Linked DNA regions of Pelodiscus sinensis. The protein of the gene in region 4 purifies or fractionates together with the protein of the main gene of each other region. This does not show direct contact. Links are inferred from orthologs where the notes say so. Each region holds a gene or a part of one and is shown on either strand. Other genes may lie near its edges. The genes, in order: CHAMP1, AHDC1, ZNF280D and CBX1.

What was found.
Region 1: the proteins of CBX1 (region 4) and CHAMP1 purify together in Homo sapiens (affinity purification with mass spectrometry; 6 studies listed by BioGRID and IntAct, with this or other methods). This does not show direct contact. The link is inferred for Pelodiscus sinensis from reciprocal best matches to the Homo sapiens genes CBX1 and CHAMP1.
Region 2: the proteins of CBX1 (region 4) and AHDC1 purify together in Homo sapiens (affinity purification with mass spectrometry; 4 studies listed by BioGRID and IntAct, with this or other methods). This does not show direct contact. The link is inferred for Pelodiscus sinensis from reciprocal best matches to the Homo sapiens genes CBX1 and AHDC1.
Region 3: the proteins of CBX1 (region 4) and ZNF280D purify together in Homo sapiens (affinity purification with mass spectrometry; 4 studies listed by BioGRID and IntAct, with this or other methods). This does not show direct contact. The link is inferred for Pelodiscus sinensis from reciprocal best matches to the Homo sapiens genes CBX1 and ZNF280D.

What each region holds. Positions count from the first base shown.
Region 1 is NC_134711.1:236,216,062-236,222,955, forward strand, and holds the start of CHAMP1 (chromosome alignment-maintaining phosphoprotein 1), read right to left. Parts: upstream 3,056-6,894; 5' UTR 2,822-3,055; intron 2,456-2,821; exon of another isoform or gene 2,354-2,455; 5' UTR 2,236-2,353; intron 1-2,235. UniProt on the Homo sapiens protein: Required for proper alignment of chromosomes at metaphase and their accurate segregation during mitosis. Involved in the maintenance of spindle microtubules attachment to the kinetochore during sister chromatid biorientation.
Region 2 is NC_134735.1:12,463,131-12,471,073, reverse strand, and holds the start of AHDC1 (transcription factor Gibbin), read left to right. Parts: upstream 1-4,941; 5' UTR 4,942-5,216; coding exon 5,217-5,352; intron 5,353-7,943. UniProt on the Homo sapiens protein: Transcription factor required for the proper patterning of the epidermis, which plays a key role in early epithelial morphogenesis. Directly binds promoter and enhancer regions and acts by maintaining local enhancer-promoter chromatin architecture.
Region 3 is NC_134724.1:28,534,201-28,541,751, reverse strand, and holds the start of ZNF280D (zinc finger protein 280D), read left to right. Parts: upstream 1-4,520; 5' UTR 4,521-4,772; intron 4,773-5,355; 5' UTR 5,356-5,457; intron 5,458-7,551. UniProt on the Homo sapiens protein: May function as a transcription factor.
Region 4 is NC_134739.1:13,775,205-13,783,244, reverse strand, and holds the start of CBX1 (chromobox protein homolog 1), read left to right. Parts: upstream 1-5,003; 5' UTR 5,004-5,168; intron 5,169-8,040. UniProt on the Homo sapiens protein: Component of heterochromatin. Recognizes and binds histone H3 tails methylated at 'Lys-9', leading to epigenetic repression. Interaction with lamin B receptor (LBR) can contribute to the association of the heterochromatin with the inner nuclear membrane.

The DNA.
Region 1 (6,894 bases), on a different chromosome or scaffold from region 4:
TATATGGAACTGCCCCAGGTAAACCACCCACACCCCAATCCCAGACCTGAGCCCTTCCCACACTGTCACCTCCCAGACCCTGCACCCTTGCCTTGAGCCCCCTTCCACACCATAACATCCTCCCAGACCACACACCCCTATCCTGAGCCCCAGCTGAGCCTGGTCCACTACTCTCTCCTAGATCCTACACCCCAATCCTGATTCCCCCTCCTGCAACCAAACTTCTGCCTAATCAAGCACCTCCACCCCAACCTTCTGCCCTAAGACTGCTTTAGTGCTCCAAACCCCATGCCTCAGCCTGGAACCCCCTCCTACATCCCAAATACCTCATCCACAGCCCCACCACAGGGCCTGCACCAGCAGTCAGAACCCTCATCCCCCCCAACTCTAAGCCTCCTTCTACACTCCGAACCCCTCAGCACCAAACCTGCTACAGATCATCCATTTACAAATGAATTTTGTTTGTTATTTGATACGTTGCATATCTTCGCCATATTGGTGCACATAGCAAAATTCATTTCACAAATGGACACACAAAATTAGAGGGAACATGGATCAGCAGTGTGCTTTTTCATACCCCTGACAAGAAATAGATCAAAATGCAAAGTAAACATAGCCTAAGAAAAGTCTATTTTAATTATTCTGAAATAATATCCTTCCCAGGGGAGGTGCTAGTCACCTCATTGAAGAACTAGACTAAAGGTCTAACAAGCTAGGACTCTGACTGTTCTTATCAGCTGACCAACTCCATGGATTTTCTACACAAAAGCATCAGCAGAGTTTGCACATCTACAGCTCCTCAGCCTGGATACATGATGAAAACAAAGAGGTCGCTACTGTGAGCAGAGGGACCATCCATTTCCACATGCAAGAAACACCAGCTGGAGAGAGAACACAGAAGGGACTTGGCCTAGCCTAAAATTTCACACACAGAAAGGCTGACAGTTGACTACAGAGTTGTGCATCTCAAGATATCTGTTAATTTGCAAAGATCTGTAACTTTAGTGCTTTCTTAAGAATAAAGTGACAAGAAATCTTGTGTTAAATAAGCAGTTTTCGTCTGGTTTGTAGAAACATGTACTTTTAAGTTATTTTCTAGAATATGCTATATCTATATGCATTTAAGAAATTAGCTTAATGTATATTAACTTTGTTATTATAGAAAAAGGTGCATTTCTTCTTTACTACATGATCTTTTTTACTTTGCTATTCGATTTTTTTTAATTATATACATTTAACAGATTCTAGTAAATTTAGGCCTCAGCATAGATTGACATAATTCCACTTTTCATTTTAAACAGATTTATTTGAAAGAGAATTTTTAACTTAAATTCATCCCATAGCAGACAAGTAGTTTTCAGAAATATTTGAAATAGGATTAATAGCATAACATTTTCTTGGTAATATAAGGTTTATTATTTTGCAAGCAAATCAGATTCAATTTAGCTTTAAAGAAAAATTAAATTGGCAAAATCCATACATAATAGCCGAACAAATTTTCCTGAACTACTCCCTCTCACTTTATCGCATCTTAATTTCTTTCCTTACTTAATGTTCTAATTCCTTCCCTAAACTCTCCTAACATCACCGCTACTAAGGAACCTTCAGCAACTAGGGATGCAAAAGGTTAACTAGTAAGCATTAGCTTTATCAGCATGATTATCTAATTAACCAATAACCAATTAATTAACCGAAGGGCTGGGTGAAGGGAGACGCTCCCTGCAGCCAACCCAGGCACCAGGACTTCAGCAGGCCAGAATAGCCCCCAGCTTGTTGCACAGTGTGACAGAACCTGTCCAGCCAGAGCAGGGGGGATCCCTTCTGTCCAGAGAAGTCCCCCCCACACCCATGAAGAGCTGGTTGGACCCCAGCCGCACAATTAACAGGTTAAAGTATTACAATTATATTGTTAATCCAGTAAACTTTTTAAATGGATATATACATCTCTAGCACCAACTATTTATATTCCATTGCTGCCCACCTTCACAGATGTACCAAAAAGTGTGCATAGATCACACACAAACCACAGCAGGATCCACTTCCAAAACTCCACACAACAGACTTGCTCTGGGCTTCTTTATACACTTAAAAACAATTTCCTGAGAGTGGCAATTTTATAAATGAAGTGCCTCTGTCCCTACAGAACACACGGGATAAAACAACTCATACCCTTGATTTTGGTAAGTGATAGGGCCTGTCCCTTAAAAACTGCCTGCTACAGAGAAACTTACTTACTTGAGATTATTGACATTGTCCTGCAGCGTTGCAATTCGGTAACACAGGCTCGTTCTGCAACTGTTTGTGTTGGTTTTCCTCGCGACTAGGGCAATGAGAATCGGCTGCGGGCTCAGGTCTGGGGGTTGAAAGGCTGCTTCAATGCCCGCTTTGTGTTTCCCCGCAGTAGTGCGATGCAGCGTGTCTGTCGCCTGTAACCTCAGCACGAGCCTGAAGCGGGCTGGGGGGGGAGGGAAGGATTTACACAGGGAAAGGCTGGATCCAGACCGCGCTGGCTGGGGGGGGGGGGCAGTTCACACCCCCACGGGGCGGCAGCCGCCTCGCACTTCCGACTCGGGGCCCGCCAGCCGCAGCACTGGGGGCGCGCGGGAGAGGGGGCACCGCAGCCCCGAAGTGGGGGGAGGGGTCTGAGCGCGAGCCTGGTCGGCGATGACCGGCCCCGAACGCGTTACCGCCGCGGGGGGGGAGGAGCCTCCAGCGGGAAAGGCCCGAGCCGCGCGCGCGGGGGGGGGGGGGTGTTTACGAAGCCTTCGCGCCCCCTCCTGCCTAGAGAACGCGGCTCCCCCCCCCCCCCCCCCGCACTCACCGCGAGGGGCAGCACGTGACTCTCGCTCCGTTCGGGCGGGGGTTCTGCGCGCGGGCAGACCCCTGGGCGGACGCGGCCCCTCCAATGGCGGCGGTGGCGGCGGCTTTCGCAGGCCGGAGTGAGCGCTCCCGGGGGGGGGGGGGGAAGGGGAAGGGAGGCGCGCGCCCACACAATGGAGGCTTTATTGGGTCTCCGGCCCTTCCCGCTGCCCAACCGGAAACGCCGCCGTTGCTTCTGCCCCGCCCCCCGCCGCGCGAGACCGCGGGCGCTCCCCCCCCCCCCCCCCCCCCCCGACAACGTGCCTCTGCTTCCTTGCCGTTGCGCGCGCGCGCGTGCATGGCGCCAAGAGGGCGGGGGCGGTTGGAGCCGTTAGAAAGGTCCGGGGCTGAGCGCCTGGAGGAGAGCGCGGGGTGCGGGATCCCTTGCAGGGGTTGGAGCCTGCTGGGCGCGCCGGATCCAGCGCCTGTTGGGAACCAGCTGGTGCCTCCTGAGCTCCTTGGCTGTGTCTAGACTGGCAAGTTTTTCCAAAAAATCATTTGCGGAAAAACTTGCCAGCTGTCTACACTGGCCGCTTGAATGTCCGGAAAAGCACTGACCATCTCATGTAAGATTGTCAGTGCTTTTGTGGAAATACTATGCTGCTCCTATTCGGGCAAAAGTCTTTTTCCGAAAAACTTTTGCGCGAAAGGGCCAGTGTAGACAGCAGAGATTTGTTTTCCGCAAAAAAGCCCCGATCGCAAAAATGGCGATTGGGGCTTTTTGTGGAAAAGCGCGTCTAGATTGGCCACGGAAGTGCAGAAAAACATCCTGCCAATCTAGATGCTCTGTTCCGAAAATTCTTTTAATGGAAATCTTTTCAGTTAAAAGCATTTCTGGAAAATCATGCCAGTGTAGACGTAGCCTGTGTTCTGTCCATGGGCGGGATAAACTTTGCACCACCATTGGGAAAACCCAGCTGAGGGCGCTCTGCTAATCACCTGGGCTGCATGTGGATGTCTCCTGAGCCTTTGCCCAAACACTCCCCTTGCAGGGACTCCGGGAGGGGGCTGCTATGGGTGTGTGGTGGAGGGGAGTATCTGTTGCACACCTTCAGGCTGTGCCAGAGCCCCCCTCCCCACTCAGCACTTCCCTCGTCCCCACACACATCCTGCACTTTCTGGGGTTTCTTTGTGCTGCCTGAGGCACTGATGGCTATACTGGGAATTTGCCGTTTCCCAACTGAGTTAAGTTGTGTAATGCCAGGCTTGCTCAGCAAATGCCCAACACAGAGCTGGAGACCTTACACAAGATGCAACTGGACGCTGTGGGTTTGGCTTTTGTTTGTGACATAGGGATTGAAAATGCCACTGAGAAGGTGTGATGCTGTCAGAGCTGTTTCCTCCTCAGGCCGATGTCTCTTCAGGTCTTAACTGAACATCGACAAATCCATAGTAGCATCAATGGCTCACCTGTGTGTTTGTGATGTTAAATAGGTGTTTGTGGGTTGGTTTGAGAGACTGTGGGAGGGGACTGGGAAATGGAAGGCATTTTTGTGGTGGGTGGTGGTGCCTAGCACTAGTTCTAGAGGTAGTAGACGCTGCTATGTTCAGGCTTCAAGACTATGTCTACACTGCAGGCTTCTTGTGCAAGAATGGCCATTCTTGCGCAAAAACTTATGGTGCATCTACACTGCACATGCGTTCTTGCTCAAGTAAATTTACAGGAATACGTTGGAACAGAGGGCTTCTTGGGCAAGAGTTATTCTTCTCCCCAGAGGAATAAGCCCTCTTGCACAAGAAGGCAGTGTGGATGAGCAACAGGGGGTTTACAGGGATGTGGAAAAAACACATCTGCTTTTCTGATTTTTTTTTTTTAAGATTTTCCTTGGATACCTCCAGTATTCCAGAAAAACTCTGCAGTCTAAACTTACCCAAAGGGAGTCTCTTCCCCCTTCTTTTCCTAGGTTGTCAGTATTTAATTGTGTCCATTAAACCCCATTAATCATTTTGGGGACTACCTGAAAAGGCTACTATGTTCAGCACAAAAAAGCTGTGACTCCTTTGCAGGTATAACTGTGATATTTTGAGGACAGTGAAACCTAGTCCTGCTTCTTTTATTAACATGATGTGGATAACACATAATACACTAATTAGCATGCAAGTATGTGCCACCCATTACGTGGAAAGTCAGAACTGATCAAAACTGATTAGTAGAATCTCAGAGTTTACAAATACCAGCGTTACAAACTGAGGAGTCAACAATACAACTCTCTTGGAATACAGGTATACAATTAGGCAGCAGCAGTAACCAACAAATAAAAAAGCAGATGTAGTTCAGTGCTGTGTTAATTGTAAACTACTAAATATAAGTAAAGCAGTAATTTTCTTCTGCCTAATTAAGTTTCAAAACTGTATTGTTAATGTTCAGTGCGAAGAAACCATAATGTTTTATTTAGAGTTAAGAACATTTCAGAATTACAATCTCCATTCCTGAAGTGTTGTAACGCTGGTTTGCTGTAGTCTCCCTCTAGTGGTTGGTCAATCAAAAGCAGCAGCCTAGACTTGAAGTCTACTTTTATCATGATGTATGAATAGAAGTTTAAAAAATTATTCTTTATGGCTGTGTCTAGACTGGCCAGTTTTTCCGGAAAATCAGCGACTTTTCCGGAAAAACCTGCCAGCTGTCTACACTGGCTGCTTGAATTTCCGCAAAAGCACTGACGATCTCATGTAAGATTGTCAGTGTTCTTGCAGAAATACTATGCTGCTCCCGTTCGGGCAAAAGTCCTTTTGCGCAAAACTTTTGCACAAAAGGGCCAGTGTAGACAGCCCAGATTTGTTTTCCGCAAAAAAGCCCCGATCGCGAAAATGGCGATCGGGGCTTTTTTGCGAAAAAGCGCGTCTAGATTGGCACGGATGCTTTTCCGCAAAAAGTGCTTTTGCGGAAAAGCGTCCGTGCCAATCTAGATGCTCTGTTCCGAAAATGCTTTTAACGGAAAACTTTTCCATTAAAAGCATTTCTGGAAAATCATGCCAGTCTAGACATAGCCTATTTGTGTCTATTAAAAGGAAAACTCTGTGTTCAGAAAGTCTTATCTTTTACTTTAGAGGGGTTTGCAAAATTGGTGAGTCTTAATACACAATAATACTACACATTAATACAACTAGCTACATAGTAGAGTATCTTGTTTCTCTTTCAAGTGATTGTGTACAAATACTGCAGGTGTACATGCTTCCAATGCGCTTGTATTGGACTTTTGTATCAGCAGTACTACTAGGCAATAAAGAGGTCCCCCCATGCTTAATGAAAATTGGTTTATATTAATATGCATAACTCAGAGATGCTTTGAAGAAATGCCTCACATAATCAACAAATTCTATTTCAGTGCATGTATCGTTCCTGTATGTAAAGTTAGAAATACATAGCATGAGACTGCTTATAGTTTCAAATGTGCTAATGAGAGCCATTACCTCTCCCTCAAGCCTTAATGACTTGGTGATCAACTTAACGACTTGTAAATGGCCTTGTTTGTCTTGTAAGTCCAAAATTGATTGGACTAGTAAGACACGTGACCATACCATCTGGTACTGGGATTCCACTTTGGGGCTAGGTCTAGACAACAAAGTTTTGTCGGAAAAAGCTGCACAAAATGCACTCCGCATTTTGTGTAGCTTTTTCTGATTCTTTTGTCGGAAGAGACTTTTCCGACTTTTAGCCTGTCTAGACTAGGCCAAATGTTGGGAAAAAACCCTCTTTCAGAAGCCCCCTTCTTCCTGGTGGAAGGAGGAATACTGGGGCTTCCGAAAGAGTGCATTTGCACTTCCGCAAAAAAAAAAGTGCAAACGCATTCCCTGGATGCGGTGGGGTTTTTCGGGATATCCTGAAAAAACCTCGTAGTCTAAACGTAGCCTTACTTTGGTAGTTTTCCATGGAAAGTGGGGAACGGGGAGTGTTGAACAAAAGTTTCCTGTTCTGAGGGAAAGACTATTTAATCAATGAGCCCTTTGTCTTTGGCTAGTCTGGAAACTCCTGAAAGATACAAGGGGCTGGGAACCAGGTCAGGGTAAAATGTCTCTGACCTGAAGATTATGCCT
Region 2 (7,943 bases), on a different chromosome or scaffold from region 4:
GGAAATTCAATCCAGGGACTTGGGGATAGAATAAGCTCAAGTGGTTTATACGGATTCTCAGGCCCCTGGTGTCGAGTTACCACCTTAGGAATGGCTCAGGGCCCATGCATTGTTATTCACAATTCGTTAGGCACATGTATGCACCAGTATAAATATTCAGCTAGGATTAATTGCTTCTGGAACAGAGACCCGTGCAGGTGGCATTGCAGAACAAGGCCTCCAGAAGTAGGACGCTGGGTCTGGTTAGAAAGTGATGACCTGGTCCCGGTTTGCAAGCAGCCTCCAGCACCCCGGATGACATACCGGTATGTGGCTGTGCAGGGGAGAGCATCACGCAGGGCGTATGCCCCAGCAGAAAGCAAGGGAGGAAGGGTGAGGTCCCATCAATTTGCTACTCCTTTCAAACTGGAGCAAGGCCAGCCACCCGAGGATGCAGCAGGCCCTGCCCAGCTCCTTTTAGTTGCCAGCCCTGGCAGGGACTTTGTGCCAGGTTGAGAGATAAGTTTTTATGATAACTATAGCTAGAGCCCTGCAAATCCACAGCTTGATGTCCACGGCTTATTTTTGCAGATATGGATGCTGCTTCAGATATAAATGTTGTATCTAGAACACTGCAAATTTGTGGATATCCGCTTTATGTCCATGGGTATCCCCATTCCCGTGGCTCATTTGTGTGGCTATGGATGTGTGTACGAATTTTGTAACCGCACAGGGCTCTACCTATACAGATGCCCTTCACACCCGACAAGGAACTTGGATAGTTTTAAGCATCCCTTTGATTAATACACGACCTTTCAATGCTGTGGATTAAATTAATAAATCTTTGCAATTTAAACCCCATGCCGCTCTCAATGTAACGTTTTCTGTAGAATCGTCCTCCCTCCCTGGAGCAGGATGAGCAAACTGCTCCTTTTCTCTGCCTAAGATGCATGCTATGCACACAACTCCACTACATGTGCATGATGGTGTGTGTGGGGGGGGAGGGGTGCATGCACATATATACACCAAAAGAGGCAAGATTAATACCAAGAAAACTCTATGTGATCACAATATGCGGATCCTTCTGGATTGTGATCAGTTACTAAAAAAGAGCAGAAACTTCAAGGCTCACCTCTTAGGGTAAATGATAAATACTGCCTCTACCTGTACTCATTCAAACAACACAGATCCCCTGCATGTGCCAATTCTATCGATGACCCAGGTGGAGTACTCACATCCTGTTGGCATCTACAAAGTCGAATACTGCAGGGTGCTCTCTGCATCATCCGCTTGCCTACCAGTCCTTGGCCGACCCACTAAAGACCCTGAGATCAATAGGGTACGTGCAATCAGCAAGATTTAGTCCTAGGTGTCTGTTGACATCCAAATATTAATTTTAATTGAATATACAATACACACGATTGGGGTGTATGTGTGGGTGATATATCCCAGTGGTACTTTTTCTGTTTCATCCCCATCTATATGTTACTTCATTGATGACTCACGTGTGATTAAAATTCTAATGATATTCACAATCCTCTGGCGTTAACCCCTCACTCGTTATTCCGGAAAATACAATGTCACAACAGACATCAGTCATATTATGTGTTTTAATTGTGTTGTAGCTATGAGCCTCTGTGAAATTAACGAGTGCTTTGAGATCCTTGGTGAGAAGGCCCTATAGACATGCACATTGGTATCTAGATGTGGAGATGCAACATAGTTTGGTGGGCAAGACACTGGTCTCAGCAGCAGACCTGAATTTTGTTCCCAACTCCGCTGTGAGACAGAGGGCAATTCATTTCCCCATTCTATATTTCTGTTTCCCCACCTGTTTTGGCTGTAATCTCTTAGAGGCAGGGCCTGTCTCTTACTGTGTCTGCACACGGCAGTACCAGTCTTGGCCCAGACTTCTAGATGTTATCATGATACCAGTGATGCTAGTGCAGTTCCCAGGGCTGTCGATTCTTCACCACGTTTTATGGGAGAAAGTGTGAAAAGGTCACACTGTTTCCTAGAGCAGTTCTGGGGTTTGCGAAAGGACTTGTAGCATGCATGTTGTGTGTGCGTGTTTGTTGATTGGAATATTCCATCCAGATTCACGTTGTGCGCAACCCCAGACTGCCAGCTCCGAGTGTTCAAAAATCATGAATCAGGGCCCCAAGCACCATGAGATTGGGTTAAACCTCAGGAAGCTCTGGGCCTCTTTTCGTTTGCCTTCTGATTTGTGACGCTTGAGGGGACTTTGGGGGTCATGTTTTTAATCTTTTGGCCACAATAAGGGTTAAAATCTGACTTGTTTTAATAAAAACGAAGAGTTTCTTATACTCACATGACTCCAGGGGCTGGGGCTTCAATAAATACACCAAATAACAAGGCAACCCCAACACAAGTGGATTCCAAGCACAAATTCACTCAGGGTATGTCTACACTACCCTCCTAGTTCGAACTAGGAGGGTAATGTAGGCATACCGCACTTGCAAATGAAGCCCGGGATTTGAATTTCCCGGGCTTCATTTGCATAAGCGGGGAGCCGCCATTTTTAAAACCCCGCTGGTTTGAACCCCATGCAGCACGACTACACGGGGCTCGAACTAGGTAGTACCACGAGGTATACCGGTAGTTCGGAATAGGAATCCTAGTCCGAACTACCTAGTTCGAGCCCCGTGTAGCCGCGCTGCACGGGGTTCGAACCAGCAGGGTTTTAAAAATGGCGGCTCCCCGCTTATGCAAATGAAGCCCGGGAAATTCAAATCCCGGGCTTCATTTGCAAGTGCGGTATGCCTACATTACCCCGCTAGTTCGAACTAGCGGGGTAGTGTAGACATACCCCCACTGAGTAAGTCAAGCGGAGGTTGCTTGAATATTTTGATGGGTGCTTCTTAAATGTTTTGGCTTCCATCCCACCCCTCTCGATGCAAACTGTTCCGTGGACCACCAGCCAACCACAAAATGGGTGGAGGAGGGGGTTGGGGTGCAAGATCTGGGTGGGAGGGAGGGTGCAGAGCAGGCTGGGATGGGGGTCTGACTGGGAGGTTGGATGCAGGAATAAGCTGAGTGTAGGGGGTCCAGGCAGGAGGAAGGATGCGGGAGCAGGCTGGCGGTGCAGGGGCTGGTGGGAGGGTGTATGTGAGGAGGATGGGGGGTGCTTACCTGGCTTTGCCCCCCCACTCCCAGACACCACCACCTGCTGATCCCTTTGGCTGGGATTCCAGTCAATGGGAGCAGTGGGGAAAGCCTCTAGGCTAGCGATTCCCTGCACTGCCATTCCTCCAGCCGCCAAGCGGAGGGGAGCAACAGCATCAGAGAGCCGGATCCTGTGCACGTGAGCCAACAGTGATGCTCCAACGTTGGGGGGCCCCCATCACCCAGTCAATTCTACAACCCAGAGCTTCAGTCCACCTGCAAGATGGTCACGGACCACTAGTGGTCTGCCCACCACACTTCGAGAACCACTGCTTTAGGCTGATGTTTCCAAAGCGACTGTAGGGAATTTGGATGCTTCCTTCCCAATGGGAATGGGGTGTCCAATTCTCTTGAATGGCGTTGAAAATGTCAGCCGGAAAGTACACAGCCACTCCGCCCTGAAATAGGGAGTCCCCACAACCGCCACCAGGATCACCCCGACTCTACCCCTGAGTCTTGCAATCACAGAGGGCGGCCTCTCCCTGTCCTTAGCTAGCACCTGTCCTGAGCCTTCCTGGTGCCCCCAAGTACCAGAGAAAACCACTGGGGTTTGGGCAGTGCTGAAACACAGTGGATTTGTTCCCACTCGGTGTGCCTTTAGGTAGCAAGATCCCTGGGGCCATCCGGTCTCTTTGGAAGAGAGAACACCCACCCCTCCTGTGACGTAGTGGGGGTATTGGGCTGCTTTCTATGCTGGCTCTGTGGTAACCCCCACTGGCTGACCCTAACCACGGCCCAGCGAGACAGGGGATGAGTCATTATGCAGAGAGGGTCTCTCAACCTGTCTGACCAGCTAGCCCCCAGGGAGAGAAACAAAGGAAGGTGGAATGCTGCCCCTGGCTGGGGGGCAGGGCTGGAAGAGGGTTAGTTAGTTTCTGTCTGGGAGCATGGAGGAAGCCGCCTAAGCAACAGGCTGGGGTTTAGAAGCCCAGACCCATATGAAGGGGGGCTGAGGCATCCTAGGCCTGTCCTGTAACCAGATGACATCTGTGCTGTGCTGTGTCCTGGAGAAGCAATAAACTCCCTCTATTCTACTGGCTGGTGAAGTCTGTTCGTGCCATTTCGGGGGGTGCAGGAGGCGCGGGAACCCCAACGCGTCGTCACCCCTCCTCCCCCAGCAGCCCCATTGCCGCGAAAGGAGAATCCCCACGAGCAGTAGAGAGCCTAGGACACACACCGCGGAGCAGTGCCGATTCCGCCCGGCAGAGGGCAGCGGCGACCCGTGCCAGGGACATCGGCACCAGCCCGCCGGCCGCTTCCCAGCAGGACGCGTCCGGATGGCCGGGAGCCGGGGGGGGGGGGCAAGTTCAGCCCCAAACTTTGCAGAAGTTGGGGGGGGGGGAGACACTCCTTAGTGGGGGCACGAATTCAAGCACCGCCTGCCCCCCCCCCGACAGCGCCTGGGGGGGGGGGTGCGCCCCGCGATCCCCGGCCCCTTTGTGCATTGCACAAGCCACACCGGGGGGGGGTCCCCTCCCCCTGCCTGCGCCGCCCCCCCGCCCGGGCTGGCCGGGACTACAATCCCCGGCATGCCCCGCCGGAGCGCTCCCTGGGGTTCCGGCTGCTGACAGGCGAAGGTAAGCAGAGCTCGCAGGCAGGCGGCAGCCGCAGCACCAGCCCCCAGAGCTAGGGAGAGGCAGAGGGAGCGCGCCCGCCCGCAGCCCAGCAGGCTCGGCCGAGCCCGGCAGCAGCGCCCGCCCGGCAGCGCGCAGCAGAAGGCGAGAGCGGAGAGAGAAAGGGGGGGGCGGAGGAGGAGGGGGAGGAGGAAGGGGGGGGGGGTTGCAAGCAGCCGCGGCAGCACAAGCCCGGGCTCTGGGTTGTGTCTTCATTTCCTTTTCCCACCCAGCCCCGAGCGCCGCGGCGGAGGGTGGCGAGCCCGAGCCGAGCCGGGGAGCGCGGTGCAGCCAGGCTCGCCGAGCCCCCCCTTCCCCTCTCCGGCTGGCTCTTCTTTTGTGTGTTTCCAAGGCGGGGAGGCGGGAGCACAGAGGGGGGGGTGGGGGGGTCGCGTCCAGCAGAGTTGCTCGAGGAGCATGTGAGCAGAGGCGGTGAACATGCTGTCGTTGAAGGTGGCCGGTGGTCCGGAGGGCTCCATGAATCTCGCTGGCAGCAAAGACTCAGCCCCCGTGGAAGAGAAAAACCTCCCCAAACGGGCAGCTCCGGAAGGGCTGGGTGCCCAGCAGCCGGCTGGTGAGTACCAGGCTTTCATTTGCCCTGCCCCCCCCCTCCCTCGGGGACCCCCCCACGCGCGCCCGGCTCCTGGGGGCCAGGGGATTTTCCCCCAGTGGATCTCCCTCCCCCCTCTGTAATGAGCTAATCGAGCAACTTGCTGCAGAGTGCTTGGGCAGCAAACTCTGTGGGGAGGGGGGTTAAAGGGCAGCATGCAGTCCAGATGAAACAGCCTTTGTCTCTGTGTAGCGGGCTTGGCAGCACTTGAGGCCAACTGGGTTGTATTTCTCTTATTTCCTGTCCGCCCTCCCCGAAGCCCACACCTCTCCAGTTACTGCCTTGCAATATGCTGCGAATCCGCCACCTCTCCATCGCTCCGTGTCTGGCTTTCTACCTCCCCCCCCCCCTTCAAAAAAAAAAATCCCGACCGAAAATCGCTTTAGGTGTAAACACTAATCTCGCCTTGCACATGCAGATGGGGGCGATGCAGGCAGGGGCTGTGCATTTGAGAAGCCCAAGAGTAAGAGGATATGTTTACTAAGTGGCGGGGGTGGGTGGGTGGGGAGCTGCTTTGAAAAGGAAGGGTGGGTGGCTGGGGGGGGTTGGAATGGAAGATCAAGCCAACAGTCCTTTATTATTTCAGCATGTGGGTTTGGTTCTCGGCAAAAGCGTAGGGGTGTTGGGGACAGACGCCTCCTGGCTCTCGCTCATCCCCCCCCCCCTCCACCCTTTGGCAGGGCGAAGTTGCATCCTCTGGGAGAGTTGTTCCCAAATTGCTGGAGTTTTAATTGCAGTTCAAGGAGCAAAAACCGCAGAAATGTTTGGCAAGGGGATATGAAGGCAGTGGGGGGTGGGAGGGGAGGTAAAGACTGGGGTGGGGAGACATTGTCTGGCAAGCAGAGTTGTGTGTGTCCGTGCCGGGCGGGGGGGGTGGGGGGTTGAGCGAGCGTTACCTGTGGAACAAAGTCGCCTACTTCTTTAAATAAATAAATAAGCCTGGAATCTATGCATTTCCTTCTGGAGGGATCTGATTTCACAGGGTTCCTCTGCCTGCCTCCCCCTGCATGTGGGATTGCTGAGTGACAGCTGTCAGGCTGGCTTCTGTCCACTAGAAGGCAGGCAGCAGTTATAATCAAGGATGTCAACAAAATTTGTGGTGATATGTCTTTTCTCGCATGTGCGCTTGGATCTGTGTTACATCAACCCAGCCCTTCCTGCCTGTGTCTCCCCCCTGCCAGCTCCCAAGAGGTGGGGGCTGCAGGCAGCAGCAGGCCAGATTTTTGGTTAGTGTGGTGTATATGTGGGGGAGTTTTCTTTATGGTCCAAAGGGCCTTTACTTGGTTGGTCTGTCCAGGGGGGAATGTTGTGCAACGGAGGATGCGTTGGAAACCCTGCTGTTACCTTACATTCTGCAGATCTAGTTCTTAGGGGGCCATTTTTTGGGAAGAGTATTTTCTTTTTGGGAGTTTTTATTTTTAAAATCCCCTTGGTGCTAAGGAACTGCACTCCCTGCTTGCGAATAATGCACTGGAATTCTTCTCTCAGACCCTGGCGCTGGGTTGCTGGAGTAACTCCATTGAGAGGCACTAGTGGGAGACCAAAGCCACCCCCCTGGGTGCTTAGTTGGAAAACACGGAGATTCTTAGACATCCAGAAAACCAAACTGGCCGAACAGCCAGGCTGCGGAGACTCGGAACACTTGGCAGGTTCTGGTTTCTCCCCATGCAAGACCAGGTGGCCTGTGTGTTGGGAACTTGGCATGTGGCTTTGGAGTGGCGCTCAAAGCCATATTCTGAGCTCAGTTTCACTGGTGCAAACCCAGCAGTCAGTGGCGTGACTCCAGATTGACACCCGCGCGACAAAGAGCCCAAGCGAGCCCTCAGGACGTTGGCCCTGATTCAGCAAAGCGCGTGAGCAGGGTGAAGTCCTATGGAATTCAGGGCTGTGGCTTCAGAGCTTTGTTGAATCGGGGCGTGATGACTCACTGGGTGTCCCCTTGCAGTGATGGCCTTGTTGGTTTGTGGCATCTGGAAGGCAGGGAGCCAAATGCCGAGCTGTGTGCCTGTGAACCCGAACGGGCCAAATCATGCCTGGGGCAACTCTGCTGCAGTCCACTGTCTCTGGTGCAGTTACGAGGGGGGTTATTTTAGCCCACTGGCCCTCACTCATGCTGGTTTTGCCCGGAAGGGCCCCGTTCCCCTCCTCCTGTCGACTAACACACATGAGGAATAGTCCAGTTCTGTTGCTTTCAATGGCACCGGTATTGCTCAGCGTAGGATTGGCTCCGTTGCCTTGCAGGGGAAGTATCCACCGAACGATGGGGCTGGGGGTGGGCAAGAACATGATCCAGCGTTGGGAGCTGGAGGCTGGTGAAGGAGAGGAGACGGAAGGTTATCGGAGGCCTGAAGGGGCTGACTGGACAGAGTGCCTGCCCTGGCCTCCTTAGAAGAGGCAGCAGAGACCCGGGGCAGTCTATTTCTGCTGAGATCCCGAGGAAAGCTCTGGGAGAATTGTAGGCTTCTATAAATAGCGTGTGTCAGCCAAGTGGAAACAGGGCCTTGAAATGCTCCTGCTATTCTCCTGAGTGCTGGAAACCAGCTCTCAGTAAACAG
Region 3 (7,551 bases), on a different chromosome or scaffold from region 4:
TCAAAAGGGGTGACATGACACCTTTTACTTCTGGTCATGTGTCCATCTTGCCCCGAGCGTGTAACCTCCAGAGGCCTGGTTAACGGGGGTCAAGGGTGTGGCTAATGGGGGTTGGGACGTGGTTAACGGGGGCGGGGGTGGGGCTAATGGGGGTGAGGGTGTGATTAACAGAGGTCAGGGATGTGGCTAATGGGGCACCACCAAAAATTATACAAATATGCCGCTTCTGCCAGGTGCACTGCGGGAGGGGGCATTGGCCCCGGAAGAGGAGTGTGTTGGTGTGAGTTTAGTGCAGGGTTTTCCTGTGCTGCAGGAGGGTGTGTGTGTGTCTGTGTGTGTTGGTGGGGGATTTTTTTGTGTGCCGGGGTTTTTTTTTTTTGTTCAATCAAAAATTACGGGGGCCCCCCGGTTAAACTTGTGTGCCTTTTTTTGTTCAACCAAAATTGCTGCTGGGCCCCGTTGAAATTGTTTGAATTGGGCTGCTCACTTCCAAAAGCCGGCCTTGCTATTAGGGTGTGTCTAGACTACAAGGGTTTTGTCGACAAAACTGGACTTTTGTCGACAAAACTATACCTGCGTCTACATAACATCGACAGAACTCAGCAGTTTTGTCGACGGCTGTAAACCTCATTCTACGAGGAATAACGCCTTTTGTCACCAGAGTTCTGTTGACAGAAGGCATTATTGCATCTACATTGTCCTTTGCGTCTACGCTGTCATGTCAACAAAGTGGCTTGCTTTGTTGACAGAACTGGATGTAGTCTAGATACTCTTTGTTGACAGAAGCTTTGTCTACAGTATCTGTCGACAAAACTTCTGTCGACAAAAGCCTGTAGTCTAGACGTACCCCTAGATTTCTTGGAAGTGGTCAACAAACATGCGGACAAGGGGGATCCAAAAGATATAGTGTACTTAGATTTCCAGAAAGCCTTTGACAAGATCCGTCACCAAAAGCTCTTACGTAAATTAAGTTGTCATGGGATAAGAAGGAAGATCCTTTCATGGACTGAGAACTGGTTAAAAGACAGGAAACAAAGGGTAGGAATAAATGGTGAAGTTTCAGAATGGAGAGGGGTGACTAGTGGTGTTCCCCAAGGGTCGGTCCTAGGACCAATCCTATTCAACATTCATCCCGAGTGGAGGAACGACCAGGAGAGACGCCAGTTAAAAGCAACTGACGCCTCCAGCCAGCAAGGACCTGGCCAGCCGGAGCTAACCTCCTCATTTTTGCGTAATTCCCCTTTTTGAAATTAAATGCCAGAGTATTGGACTGCTGAGATGTTCTTCCCACCACAGGAATGTTAAATGTTATTATACTGTGGTCACTATTCCCGTTTGGGATTGACAGCATTGGTACATGTTCCTCCTGGACTTGTCCATGGATGTACTGATCCTGCTTTTTCTCTATCCAGACCTTCTGACACAAGACTAAGCCTGTCTCTATCATCCCAACTGTAAATCCTTGTGTCTTAAGGTCGGGAAGCTCCATGGCTAGATCCCAGAGAGCTTCTCTGTTCCAATTAGGTTTGACAGGTTCTCCTGAGTAGTAGAAACCCCTCCACAAGAGCCGCTTATCTGACCAAGTGGAAGAAGTTATTGATTTGGGTATCTCAGCTTGGTTTGTTCCTTATGTCAGCTCCGATCCAAATTACCACGAATTACCTCCTCAACCTGAAACAGCAGGGCCTTTTGGCTTCATCCATGAGGATTTACCTGGCCACCATCTTGGCTTTCCACCCTGACGTACGAGGCTGTATGGTATTCTCAGACAGAATGGTAAGTCATTTCCTAAAAGGTTTGGATAGGCTATACTCATAGGCTATACTCATAGGCTATACCTTCATGGGACCTCAGTTTAGTCCAATCAAGGCTGACAGGTCCCCCATTTGAGTCACTGGCCACATGTTCTTTGCTTTACCTCTCATATAAGGTAGCCTTTGTCATGGCGATAACCAGAGCTTGACAAATCTGCTGATCTATTCGCCCGTGGCGAGTAGATTTCAGCTGGTCACCCTGTTCACCCAGTGGTTTGCGCATGTGCAGTGCGGGTCTTGCGCATGCACAGTGCGGGGCTGGCGAGTGGTTTGCTCTGCGATCGTCGAGCCCTGGCAATAACCTCTGCCAGGAGGGTGTCCAGACTTAGGGCCCTGACCTTGGAATCCCCTACCCTGTGTTAAGGACAAGATGCAGTTAAGACTTTTCCCTGTGTTGATGAAAGGCCACCCAATGTCATCCCAGTGAATCTTCTCCTGGATAGTCTCCTGTATCAGTGAATGCTATAACCTTGATCTGATCCCAACATTGGCTATTACAGCCCATTCTACCAGGCACAGGATTCATCCATAGCTTTTCTTGTTCACGTCCCAACTCATGAGATATGCAAGATAGCGGCATGATCATCCATCTACACATGTGCTGTACATTATGCAATCACCCAGCAGGCTAGGGATGACATGGCTTTCAGTAGGGCAGTGCTCCAGTCAGCTCTTGACTCCAACACCACTTCCTAAAGTTTAGGCTTGTGAGCCACTTGATTTGAATGCATATGAACAATCACTCAAAGAAGAAAAAAACAGCCAGTCATCTTTTGTGACTGTTGTTCTTTGAGATGTGGTGTTCATGTCCATTCCAATACCCACCCTCTTTCTCCTCTGTTGGAGTAGCCGTCAGAAGAAACTGGGGAGTTGATGGGTCAGCAAGGCTATATATCAAACACCATATTGGTGGTACTAGAGAGGGCTGTTAGGCTGACCTGACAGTTGCTGCTTCCAACTTCCATGCACACATACATGTGCATACCTGATTGGAATGGACACGAACAAGTCATCTTGAATAACAACAGTTATAAAAGATGAGTAACCATTTTTTTTCTTCTGAAAAATATCTAGAGTGTTTCAAAACCTTACATAACAGTATGAGACAAACAGGACACTTTCTAGTTTAAATAGTTTTGTCTACCCTGATCTCTTCCTCTTTTCTATATCGTAGGTCAATAATTCTTTTCTTCTGGAAAATACCCATGTGGGAGAAGCAACCTGTGTTATGAGTGGCATTTGAATGCCTTTCTGTCCTGCATATTTCAAATTTTCTGGGGGAAAAAAGTTTTTTACACCTGAATTAGGAATAACAAGTTGGAAACAAATTTCTTAATTTCCAGGGTAGAAAATAGTTGTAGTTAGTGTTGTTGTAGAATAGAAAATAGGGCATAGAGTGGAAGTCTAGACACAAGTTTAATCACAGAGCTCTAATTACCTCCATAATATTGGGATGGACCAGCCTTGTCCTATGGGGAAGGAATAGCAATAGACAGCAAGAAAGGCACGTGAAAGCTTGAATGTCTTCAAGTCGGTCTTTTTCATTCTGACTCAGAAAATTTTCTGAGTATTAACTAAACTTAATAAAATGCTGATTTCCATCATATTAAAAAGAGATGGGGAAAAAGATGTTGAAAGTGCCACCAGTCTCTGTAGATGTTTTTTTTTTCATCAGTGTGTACAACCTGATACTGCAGGTCATGAGTAGTGCCACTAAAATAAATAAGATTACTGTACCTAGTTGAATAAAGGTTTGCAAGACCTAACCCTCATATCCTGATCCTGATATTTAATATATGTGGACAAACCCTTATGTCCATGTGAAGTCCTGTCAGCTACAGTGGAACTCTGTGTGGCTGTTGGAATCAAACTGCTGGACCAGGATCTTAGATTGTAAATTCTCCTGATTACTTCTGGGTTTTTGTGTAGAGCCACACATAGTAGAGCTAAACAAGTTACATAAACCATAACAAATGTGTACAAATATTCACATGTGAATATTAATGTCAGATTTAAATTTTTTTCTCATTTTCATTAGTTTTATAGCTGTTAATGGAAATGTGTATACAGCTATCATACAAAGAACATGTAGTGTTAAAGTTTCAAATTTTGCTTTCCCTTAGTTCACTATACTTGACAAATTGTTGTACTTTTTTACTGTGGGTACTTCTTTCCCTGGAGTAATATTCTGATCCTAGATCTCTGAGACAGGAAATTACTGGTGATTGTGGCTGGTTATTATGTGTGGAAGATAATATCCTAGTGTGGGCTTTTTCAATAACCTGTCTGTGTCAGGTGCTATAGACACCATTTTCTGGGCTGTGAACCTGGCTTCCTCTGTGGCACGCATCTTATGTCTACAGACCAGGCACACAGTACAGTGTAGGCTTGCTGGTGCAGGGCACTGATCACTTTCTGTGCCTTGGGCTTCCTGTGGGATTGGCCTCAGCCCCTTGATGATGGGAAGGCAGTTCACGCCAGAGTATGTGTCCCATGGGTGGTGGTTTTACCAGTGGTCCATGGTTGTTGGGAGGACAGAGTATGTAGGGAGGGCTGGCCCTGCCCCATGTGGGAGGCAGAGGATACTGTGTGCAGCAGAGTCCCCCAGCAAAGGAAAGCTCCGAGGTGCGGCCTACAGGCCAGGCCTGCTCTGCAGGGTGTGAGGCCAGGCACATGGCCCTGCGTTGTGTGCGCCTCCCCCGCGCTGCCCCGCCCCCTCCCTGGTGGCTGCCGGAAAGAAGGCGCCTCTCTGTGGGGCTGACCTGCACTTTACCCATCAGCCAGCGCGCCGGGTTCAGCGAATTCCCCCCAGTAGCGGCGGCTGCAGTGGCAGGAGACTGAGGTTGGGCGCCGCGGCTGGGCGATGTGAGGATCTTCCGCCGGAGCCGCCCCCTCCCATCCCCCCCGTCAGTCAGGGAGCGAGCGAGCCTGCCGCGGCCTCTTCACACGCGCAGCACGGTAAGCCGGCCCGCTCCGCTGTCCCCTCCCCGCAGGGACGGCCTGCTCAGGGCCTTCCAGTGCGGAGGGAGCTACCGCTGCTTAGCGCAGGGTGGGCCACCGGGGGGATTGTTGCCTACGAGACCGACGCCATCTTGGCTCGGAGCGTGGCCTTGTAGCCCCCCCCCCCCTCCCCGACCGGCGAGCTCTGGGACTCTCAGCCTTTCTAGCGACCTTGTTAGTCTCCCCTTGACGCGGGAGCCGGAGCTTCGCGGGCTCGCCCTCCCCTCCCTCCTTTGTTGGTGTCTCCCGAATAGCTGTGAGTGGGTGTTGAGGATCTTCCCCGTTCTAATAGCGGTGCAAGCGGGTTTCCGATCCCCATCCGACCCCTCCTGCCTGAGGCCAAACCAGCCCTTGCCTCAGACACCGGGGGTCACGGAGCGTGTCAGAGGGAAATGATGAAGCCGCGTGAAAGAGAACGGTTCCAGAGGGAGCTGCCCTGTTGTCCCGGCGTCCTTGCACCCTGCCTCGGCCTCACCTCACACCCATGTAGCTTGTGAGAACTTGTAATTTGCGTACAAAAGATAACGCTGCCCTTCTGTAGGAGGCTCTTACCATCTCATGACAGTGAGGCAGGAAGGTGTTTTCGAGGGACGTTTCCCCACTGGGCTAGGTGCTTAATCGTTTTTTTACATTTGCATCAAAGGTAAATGACATTTAGTTTCTTTTAAGTCTGTTCACATCCCTAACGCAGTGTTTGACAGCTTCTAAAACAAACCAAGACCTGCAGACTATGACGTTGCTATAGTACAGGGGTGGGCAAAATACCTCTCGGGGGCCAGATTCAGCCCACTAAGCCCCCATATCAGGCCCGTGGACCACCTTGCCAAGACTCTGTCACGCAGCAGCTGCTGTTTTAAGCACAGGGCTGCTCTGTGTGACTGTTTTCCAGGGCGGGAGAAACTTGTGACCTCCCCACACCCAGCCCAATCCTCAGCTCCTATTGGCCAGAAACAACCAGCTAATAGGAGCTGAGAGATTGGTCATGGGGATGTGAGCAGTGCAAGCCTCTTCCCCCTCCCTGAACTGAGCCCCATGGGCTATGTCTACACTAGTGGCTTCTTGCACAAGAACAACTCTTCTTGTGCAAAAACTTGTCGGGTGTCTACACTGTGCACACATTCTTGCGCAAGTAAATTTACAGTACAGCGTTGGAAAACAGGGCTTCTTCTGGAAGAGTTATTCCTCTCCCCACAAGGAATAAGCCCTCTTGTGCAAGAGCTCTTCCACAAGAAAGCAGGTTAGACAGGCAATATGATTTTCCTGCACAAGAAACCCCTATCGCTAAAATGGCCATCAGAGCTTTCTTTCACAAGAGAGCGTCCACACTGCCATGGATGCTCTTGTGCAAAAGCACATCTCTTGTGCAAAAGTACATGCCAGTGTAGACGCGCTCTTGTGGAAGACTTTTTGCGCAAGAACTCTTCTGCAGAACAGTTCTTGCGCAAGAGGGTACCAGTGTAGACGTAGCCATGGAGAGAACAGCTTGCAGTATTAAGTCCTCTGGGACTGCAGCAGGCAGGGAGCCCAGCCTTCCTTGGGGGTGCTGCAGGGCTGCTGGCTGGGAGACGCTTAGGTAAGTGCCTCCCAGCCAAAGCCTGTCTTTGGCACTTCTGCCCCTCCTGAGTCCCACCTCCTTCCCCCAGGTCACTATCCTGCACCCCCCAGCTGCAGGTTACGACTCCTTCCCAGACCCTTCACCCATTCCAAACTCCTTCTCCAGGCTAGAATCCTCTCCTGCACCCCAGTCTCTTATCCTGTGTTCCCTTCTGCACCCATCCCCATATCTGCTCCACAGAAAAGAGCTTGCATTGACCACTTTCCAAAGTCTTGGTGTGGCCCCCTCACCAAAAATTGCCTGCCCCTGCTATAGTAGATTGCCCACATGACATTAAATTATGCTAACTGAAGTAGTATGGACCGAAAGGTGGTGGATGCTTTAGGTTGAGCTTTGGGTTTATGTACAATGCAACTTTGCTTCTTAAAACAACTCTTAAAGGGCAACTATTAGGCTACGTCTACACTGCAGGCTTTTTGTGCAAGAACAGCTGTTCTTGCACAAAAACTTGTCATGTGTCTACACTGCACGTGCATTCTTGCGCAAATAAATTCACAGTACAGCGTCGGAAAACAGGGCTTCTTCCAGAAGAGTTATTCCTCTCCCCACGAGGAATAAGCCCTTTTGCGCAAGAGCTCTTCCACAAGAAGGCAGTGTAGACAGGCAACATGATTTTCTTGCACAAGAAACCCCTATGGCTAAAATGGCCATCAGAGCTTTCTTGCGCAAGAGCGCATCCACACTGCCATGGACGCTCTTGTGCAAAAGCACATCTCTTGTGCAAAAACACATGGCAGTGTGGACATGCTCTTGTGGAAGACGTTATGCACAAGAACTCTTGCGCAAAACAGTTCTTGCACAAGAAGGCTGCAGTGTAGACATAGCCGTAAAGTTTAACAGTCATAGAATCATAGGATACTAGAAGGTACCTTGAGAGGTCATTGAGTCTAGTCCCCTGCCTTCATGGCAGTATCAAGCACTGTCTAGATCAGAGATGGCCAACCTGTTACAGACGAAAAGCCAAAATAGTGGTGGATACAGTGCAAAGAGCTGAGGGGAAAAAGTTGAGTCGCCTCTCCCCCTACCCCAAAAGAGGTGCAGCTGCCGCCCTTTTAAGAACAGAGCAGGCATTGCCCTTTTAAGGAGGCCATTTTGAACTCTGCATGAGACACCCTGACTCTA
Region 4 (8,040 bases):
CCTGGAAAAGAGAACAGCCCCCCCCCGCCACCAGAGTTGCCTGGGAGCTGGGTGCTTGCATGGCCACCCAAGAGAGAGTCAGGTGCCACCCAGCTGATTAGCAGAGCGCCCACAGCGCCAGCATGGGTTTTCTACTGGCAGTGCACATCCACACATGCCTGGGTGCGCATAACAAAATGTATTCCACACATGGATGGAAAACGTTAAGAGGGAACATTGCCCACCACCACCACCCCCCTCCCCTACCCAGTGCCCCCCTCATTTCCCCCCCCCCCCACTCTGGACATGGTTCCCTCCCTTACCCAATGCCCCCCTCCCCTCCTCTGCACATGGTTCCTTCCCCTCTCCTACCCAATGCCCCCCTCCCCTCCTCTGCACATGGTTTCTTCCCCCCCACTCTGCACATGGTTCCCTCCCCTATCCAATGCCCCCCACTCTGCACATGGTTCCCTCCCCCCCCCCCACTCTGCACATGGTTCCCTCCCCTATCCAATGCCCCCCACTCTGCACATGGTTCCCTCCCCCCCCCCACTCTGCACATGGTTCCCTCCCCTATCCAATGCCCCCCTCCCCTCCTCTGCACATGGTTCTTCCTTCTCCCCCCCCTCCCACGGTTCCCGCCCCCCTCCTACCCAATGCCCCTCTCCCCCCACTCTGGCCATGGCTGCCTCCCCCCTACCCCAGCGCCCCCCGCTCCGGAGACCGCCCCTGCCCCGGCTCCTCACCGCTTCCCGCAGGACAGGCGTCTGCAGCCGGCGCGGCCCCTTTAAGAGGTGAAGGGCTGGGCCCGGCCCCTTATAGCCACGCTCAGGGGCTCCTTCCGGTGCGGTCCCGGGGCAGGCTGGGAGTTGTAGTTCTAGCCCCTCCGCTCCCCCCCCCCCCACACACGCCCTCTACCCCGAGGGGGATGCAGATGCAAACAAGCCCGAGGCCAAGCTGAGAGCAGAGCGAAGAGGGGGCCAGCGGGAGGAAGGGGGAGGAGGATGAGGAGGGAGGGAGCTGGAGAAGAGGGGTGCATGGGTGTGCAGGGTGGTCCCCACCCTGAGGATGCAGACTCTGACAGATGCCCATGTTGATGGATGTCTTTGAGTCCCCCCCTGTAAAACCAGCCTCCCCAGGGGACAAGGTGGGCGAGAGGAAAACTTTTTGTTGGACCAAGGGCAGCCGGGGAGAGAGACAAGCCCCGAGTTTGGGGAAAGGTGAGGAGGGCACATCGGCATGTGAACCACTGGCGCGCTTAGCCCACGACCTCACGCTACGGCCTGCCGTCGGCAGAGCGTCTGCCGCGCACAGGGCCGGCCCGTAACATTTTGGTACCTGAGGCGGGGAGCTCAAGTGACGCCCCTGTGCCCCTTCTCCTGCCTGACCGTTACGTCTCTTGTGCCCGCCTTCCTCCTGCACAGCGCTCCTCCAGCTCTGTGCATCGAGAGCAGAGAGGATACAGATGCACCAGCAGCAGACACAATTTTCTACACTCTAGTGCCCCCCCCCCCAGTCTGGCCCCTGAGGTGGCCGCCTCAGTTCGCCTCATGGGAAGGCCAGCCCTGGCCGCACAGGAACAGGAACTTCGCACCGCGCTGCGCAACGTGAGTTACTCCAACGTAAGCGCCTGCGTGCCCGGCGCCGTGTCAGCCGGAGAGCTTTAACCAACGTAGCTTGTGCCGCTCATGGAGGCGGTTTTATTTATACCAGCCAAGAGAGCTCTCTCCGGTCAGTATACTTAATCCACCTCCTCCAAAGGCAATAGCTGTGCCAACCCCAGTGTACACATGGGGGTACAGTCAGGAGAGGAAATTTGAGCAACACCTTCAAAAGACAAGCCTGAAAACTAACATTCATGATTCTGCTAGATCCTCAAAATTATGGGCTGAGTAGAAACACTGGATTTATTCCTTATTATGACACTTAAACGCTGCTCCACGTTTTTTCCTTCCTTCCCCACCCCCCTTGTCCCCAGGCGTTAACAAAGGGCACTTCACTTTGAATGAGCCCTTAAGTGTGGTAGCTACTGATGTTAATCCATCTGCTCCACCTTGTACCCTGAATACATTTTCCAGACCTGAAGAAGAGCTATGTGGAGTTTGACAGCTTGTCTCTTTCACCAACAAAAGTTGGTCCAGTAAAAGATGTTGCATCCCCAGCCTTATCTCTTTAATATCCTAGAACTAATAGACAGCAGAGCTGCCCTTCCTCCTTCCCCCCCCCCCCCCCCCCCCCCCCCCCCCCGACAACCCTCTCTTGTTTCATCAAGGCCTTTGTGGAGGCCTTTAAGAAGTGTTGCCAACTCCCACGCTTTTGTCATCCTTCTCAGGACATTCCATGTTTTTCTGGAGTCAAATTATTCGTGGGAATCTCAGCTTTCATTGGAAACAAAAGTACGTTCCTAGCCCGCTGCAGAGAAAAGCTTGAAAATGTGACCTGCGTAAACCCAAAGGCTCAGAAAAGAAAACTACAGGGCTGAAGGTGAGAAGAACAAAAAGGAGCTCCCTCCCCCTCTTTCCCTTGACTTGGGTGAGCAGTCCTTCCTCCTCTCCTACGGGATTGATCCCATGACCACTTCCTGTCCTGGGTCAGCTTGCGTAACCAGTGCCCAGCAAAACAGCATTCCAGGGAGCCCAAGTGGAAAGTGTTGAAGGTGGGATGTTCCAGGAACACAGGCCTGGTAACAGCAGCCTCTAGTGACTCAGTATCCCTGCCACCTGACAGTACTAACCCTTTGGTAACCCTGACCCATTTTCCTTGGCTGTGTAATGGAAATACAGATGAGTCCCATACATGCAGGACTTTCTGCACATGCATAGTGGCATCACGACCCATCTTTACACTGTGGCTGCCCCTAATCCCAGACCTACCTGGTTGGTGGTGGCTAGTGTCACGCAGCACAAACCACACATAAGCTGGCTGTGTCTAGACTGGCCAGTTTTTCCAGAAAATCAGCTGCTTTTCCGGAAAAACTTGCCAGCTGTCTACACTGGCCGCTTGAATTTCCGCAAAAGCACTGACAATCTCATGTAAGATTGTTGGTGTTCTTGCGGAAATACTATGCTGCTCCCGTTCGGGCAAAAGTCCTTTTGCGCAAAACTTTTGCACAAAAGGGCCAGTGTAGACAGCTCAGATTTGTTTTCCGCAAAAAAGCCCTGATGGCGAAAATGGCGATTGGGGCTTTTTTGTGGAAAAGTGCATCTAGATTGGCACAGACACTTTTCCGTGCCAATCTAGATGCTCTTTTCCGAAAATGCTTTTAACGGGGGTGGTGTTGTTCTTTCGTGTTCTATAGCAGTATTGCCCACCTCAAGCTTTCCAACATCAGGCCTTTAAAAATCATGTGATTAGCTTTAAAACCAAATTTTTAAAAAAAGAATAAGCGCTGTGGTATTTTTGTTTGCTTTCTGGTTTACAAGTCTTTGGGGGCTTTTTAGCATAAAGAAGGTTTATTGAGCATTTTTATTTCCCTGTTTCATAACACATGAAGATGGTGGTAAAACCAACAAAAGGAAATACTTCTTCATCCACGGTGTGATAAAAACGTGAAACTCGTTACCACCGGAAGAAATTGAGGCCAAGAAATTAACAAACAACAGATTGCACCTCTAGTCCAGAGCTCTCAAGACCTGACTGGTGCCAAACCAGAGAATTTGCTGAACCAGGAGAGGTCAGTATTAACTAGCAGCATTACTAACACTGCCACTGCTTACTGGGCTCTTAGAAGACTAAATAACAGCCCAGAGCACTGAGAGCCAGGTCGGGTGGCTGTAAACAAACTTTATGGCACCGCGGGAACTTGGCCACACCCACTGTAAGTTGCCATCCGGCTGCCTAAAATCACGTCGGATCATGGATGGTGCCAGACCAGAGTGCCAGACTTGAGAGGTTCAACCTGTATTAAAAAGAACAAAAAACAGGACCATGTAGCACTTTAAAGACTAACAAGATGGTTTATTAGGTGATGAGCTTTCGTGGGCCAGACCCACTTCCTCAGATCAAATAGTGGAAGAAAATTGGCACAACCATATATACCAAAGGATACAGTTAAAAAATGAACACATATGAAAAGGACAAATCAAATTTCAGAACAGAAAGGGGATGGTAAATGTCTGTGAGCTAATGATATTAGAGGTGATAATTGGGGAAGCTATCTTTGTAATGGGTAAGATAATTAATGTCTTTGTTTAAACCTAAGTGTAAAGTGTCGAATTTAAGCATGAATGACAGTTCAGAGGATTCTCTTTGAAGTGTGGTCTGAAAAGGCCTTTGAAGCAGGATGCAGGTAATCAAGTCATTGAGACAGTGTCCTTTCTGGTTGAAATGGCAAGAAACTGTTTTTCTTTGTGATCCTGTCTAATATCTGTTTTGTGGGCCTTGATCCTTTGGCAAAGACATTTTTTGTAACTGTATTAAAGGGATTGGATATTTAAATAGGTATCAAGGCTATGCAGTGCCATACATAATCCCCACACACGTTTGAAGGGATATTAACCCTTATACTTCAGCCTAATCAGGCTCTTAACTGCTGGAGATCAGGGTGAGACCTGCAGGAGGGAACTCGTCCCCTAGGTGCGGGCTGGATGATTCTCTCGCCTTTCTCTGGCGCATCCTGGGCTGGCCACTGTGGGCTCAGTGGGGTCTGCGCCGCTCTGCAGAGGCCAGTGCTCCTAGGGGCGGCAGTTCCCTTTTCACTGGAGTCCCCTGCCTCCGGGAGCTGGAGCTTTCCGCCGCGCTCAGCCGGGGGCTTGCTGAACTCATGGACAGGGGGAGCGGTGGCAGCCCTGCAGCCAGCCTGGGCGGAGGGGGGAGCCTGTGGCTCCCTGGGGCCACGCACGTGGGCTGGGCTTGGTTGGGCTCCCCCCTCCAGCTCTCCCGGACTACAACACCCAGCAGGCAGCGCGGCGAAAGGGCGGGCGCCGCTAGGCCTGCTGGGAGCCGTCGTCCAACGGCGGGACTCCATGGCCCAGCGTGCCGCGGGCGGGGCGGGGGTCGCCGCGCAGGCGCAGTGCGCTCGGCGGGTACAGGGGGTTGCTGGGCTCTTTTGTTTGGCGGAGGCGGATCGCGAGCGGCCAGGCCTGTGGCGCCCCCGGCAACGGACCCGGCCCCCCCGCCCCCGCCTCAGCTCGGCCCGGCCCCGCGCGCAGCCCCGCTCCGCCCCGGCACCGTTGGCGAGGCTGTGAAAAGTGAGCGGGGGGGCGGGGCGCTGGGGGGGGAGGGGGGAGCTGCAGGGGGGCGCGGGGGGGGAGGGGGGAGCTGCAGGGGGGCGCTGGGACGGGAGGGGGGAGGGGGGAGCTGCAGGGGGGCGCTGGGACGGGAGGGGGAGGGGGAGCTGCAGGGGGGGCGCTGGGACGGGAGGGGGGAGAGGGAGCTGCAGGGGGGCGCTGGGACGGGAGGGGGGAGGGGGAGCTGCAGGGGGGCGCTGGGACGGGAGGGGGAGGGGGAGCTTCAGGGGGGCGCTGGGACGGGAGGGGGGAGGGGGAGCTGCAGGGGGGCGCTGGGACGGGAGGGGGGAGGGGAGCTGCAGGGGGGCGCTGGGACGGGAGGGGGAGAGGGAGCTGCAGGGGGGCGCTGGGACGGGAGGGGGGAGGGGGGAGCTGCAGGGGGGCGCTGGGACGGGAGGGGGGAGGGGGGAGCTGCAGGGGGCGCTGGGACGGGGAGGGGGAGCTGCAGGGGGGCGCTGGAACGGGAGGGGGGGAGGGGGAGCTGCAGGGGGGGCTGGGACGGGAGGGGGAGGGGGGAGCTGCAGGGGGGCGCTGGGACGGGAGGGGGAGGGGGAGCTGCAGGGGGGCGCTGGGACGGGAGGGGGGGAGGGGGAGCTGCAGGGGGGCGCTGGAACGGGAGGGGGGGAGGGGGAGCTGCAGGGGGGGCTGGGACGGGAGGGGGAGGGGGGAGCTGCAGGGGGGCGCTGGGACGGGAGGGGGAGGGGGAGCTGCAGAGGGGCGCTGGGACGGGAGGGGGGAGCTGCAGGGGGGCGCTGGGACGGGAGGGGGGAGGGGGAGCTGCAGGGGGGCGCTGGGACGGAGGGGGGAGGGAGGAGGGGCTGCAGGGGGGCGCTGGGAGGGGGAGGGGGGAGCTGCAGGGGGGCGCTGGGACGGGAGGGGGAGCTGCAGGGGGGCGCTGGGAGGGGGAGGGGGGACAGGAGGGGGGAGCTGCAGGGGGCGCTGGACGGGAGGGGGAGGGGGGAGCTGCAGGGGGGCGCTGGGACGGGAGGGGGAGGGGGGAGCTGCAGGGGGGCGCTGGGACGGGAGGGGGGGAGCGGGAGCTGCAGGGGGGTGCTGGGGGGGGGCGCTGGGACGGGAGGGGGGCTGCAAGGGGGCTCCGGGAGGGGGAGGGGGAGCTGCAGGGGGGCGCTGGGATGGGAGGGGGAGGGGGAGCTGCAGGGGGGGCGCTGGGAGGGGGAGGGGGGAGCTGCAGGGGGGCGCCAAGACGGGAGGGGGAGCTGCAGGGGGGCGCTGGGATGGGAGGGGAAGCTGTAGGGCTAAATTGTACAACTAGGATTAGGTGGGGTCTGGAATGGGGGGGCTGCATTTTGGGAGGGGAGGGTTTGCTGCAAACAGTGCTCTTGGGGCTGGGATTTGGGGGAGGGAAGCTGGCATTGGGAGAGGGAGCTCGATTGTGGGGGGCAATGGGGAAGCTGGGACTTGGTGGGGAAGGGGAGAGATGCATGGAAACTTTGTAGAGCAGGGATTGGAAGGGGGCGTGGGGCTCGAGAGAGGGACCCAGGAGAGCTGGGTGCAGAGGGGAGCTACATCTTTGGCAAGGGGAGGTTGAAGGGGGTGGGTGGCCGGGTGGCCGCGCCAGGAGCCATGGGGAGTGGGGATGTGTACACGGGAGAGGAGCGTCACAGAAGGGGGAACGCAGCGGGTACCTGGGGGGTAGCTCCGTGGCTGTGAAGCTGCAGGTGAGGTTCCGAGGAGCAGTTGTTGTTCCCAGGTGGTCCTAGGCAATGAGGGGAGCTAGCCCAAGGGCTGTCTCGTGGGGATGTGGATATGGAACTTTCAGAGGGGGCAGAACAGACTCTAGTGGGACTGGGGCTTGGGGAAGGGACACTTGGAAATGAAGCTGCACTAAAGAGACAGGATGGGGCACATGGAGCTGTGCTCTGAATGGGAACCATGGGGCATGTAGAGAAGAAGCTGCCTCCGTGGAGGGAACCGGGGTGAAGCTGCACTCTGGGACATGTGGCCCCCAGTTCAGCTGCAGACTGCCCAGGTTGGGGTGACAGTAAACCTGAAGAAGGGGAGAGAATGAAGCTATGGAATGAATGAAGCTGCGCCAGGCGTATTGGGGGTAGTTGATGGCTTGCTGGAGTGTGCCTGATGGAGAGAGGTATGGGGTACAGCTGCGCCAGGAGGTCCTAGGGAGGCACTGAGCTTTCGTGGGCACAACCCACTTCTTCAGATGAATGAAGTTAAGGGGTCCAGTTTACAAATAAAAGGCAGGGAAAGAAAGGGGATGGGGGGAGATGCCCCCGAAAGCTCATGATCCCCTCTACATTTTTTGTTAATCTGTAAGGTGCTGCAAGACTATTTGTTGTTTAAGTTTTTTCAGTTACAGACTAACAGGGCTACCCCCTCTGAAACCCAAAGATCCTGTGTGTGGGGAAAGTGGGAGGAGAGGTGGGCTGAGAGGTGGGCTAGGGGGATGGCAGAGACTGGAGTGGATCTGAAAACTAGAGCGTGATGAAGCTGTAGTTGGGGAGGTGAGAGCTACGCTGAGGGCCTTGGGATGCTGGAATTGTGCTGGCAGTGTTGGGGCTAATGGAGTTGCAGAGGCGAGGTGTGTGTCCTGTGACTACAAAGTAAAGTGGGTACGATAATGGGACTGTTATGATGTTTAGGTTCTAAATGCAGGTTTTGTTAAGGGCTTTTAAACCATTTTAATTAACTAAGATTCTATGAATCTTGGGCTTTCTTACACAGGTAATTTGTTTGGATTAAACAGCTCCCGCCAGGTTTGCAATTCAAACGTCACAGCTTTGTCTTAATTCTGGAGAGCAGGGCAGTGAAACTGGCTAGAAATAGACAAGACAGGCTGGTATTTCACTGTCCTCTC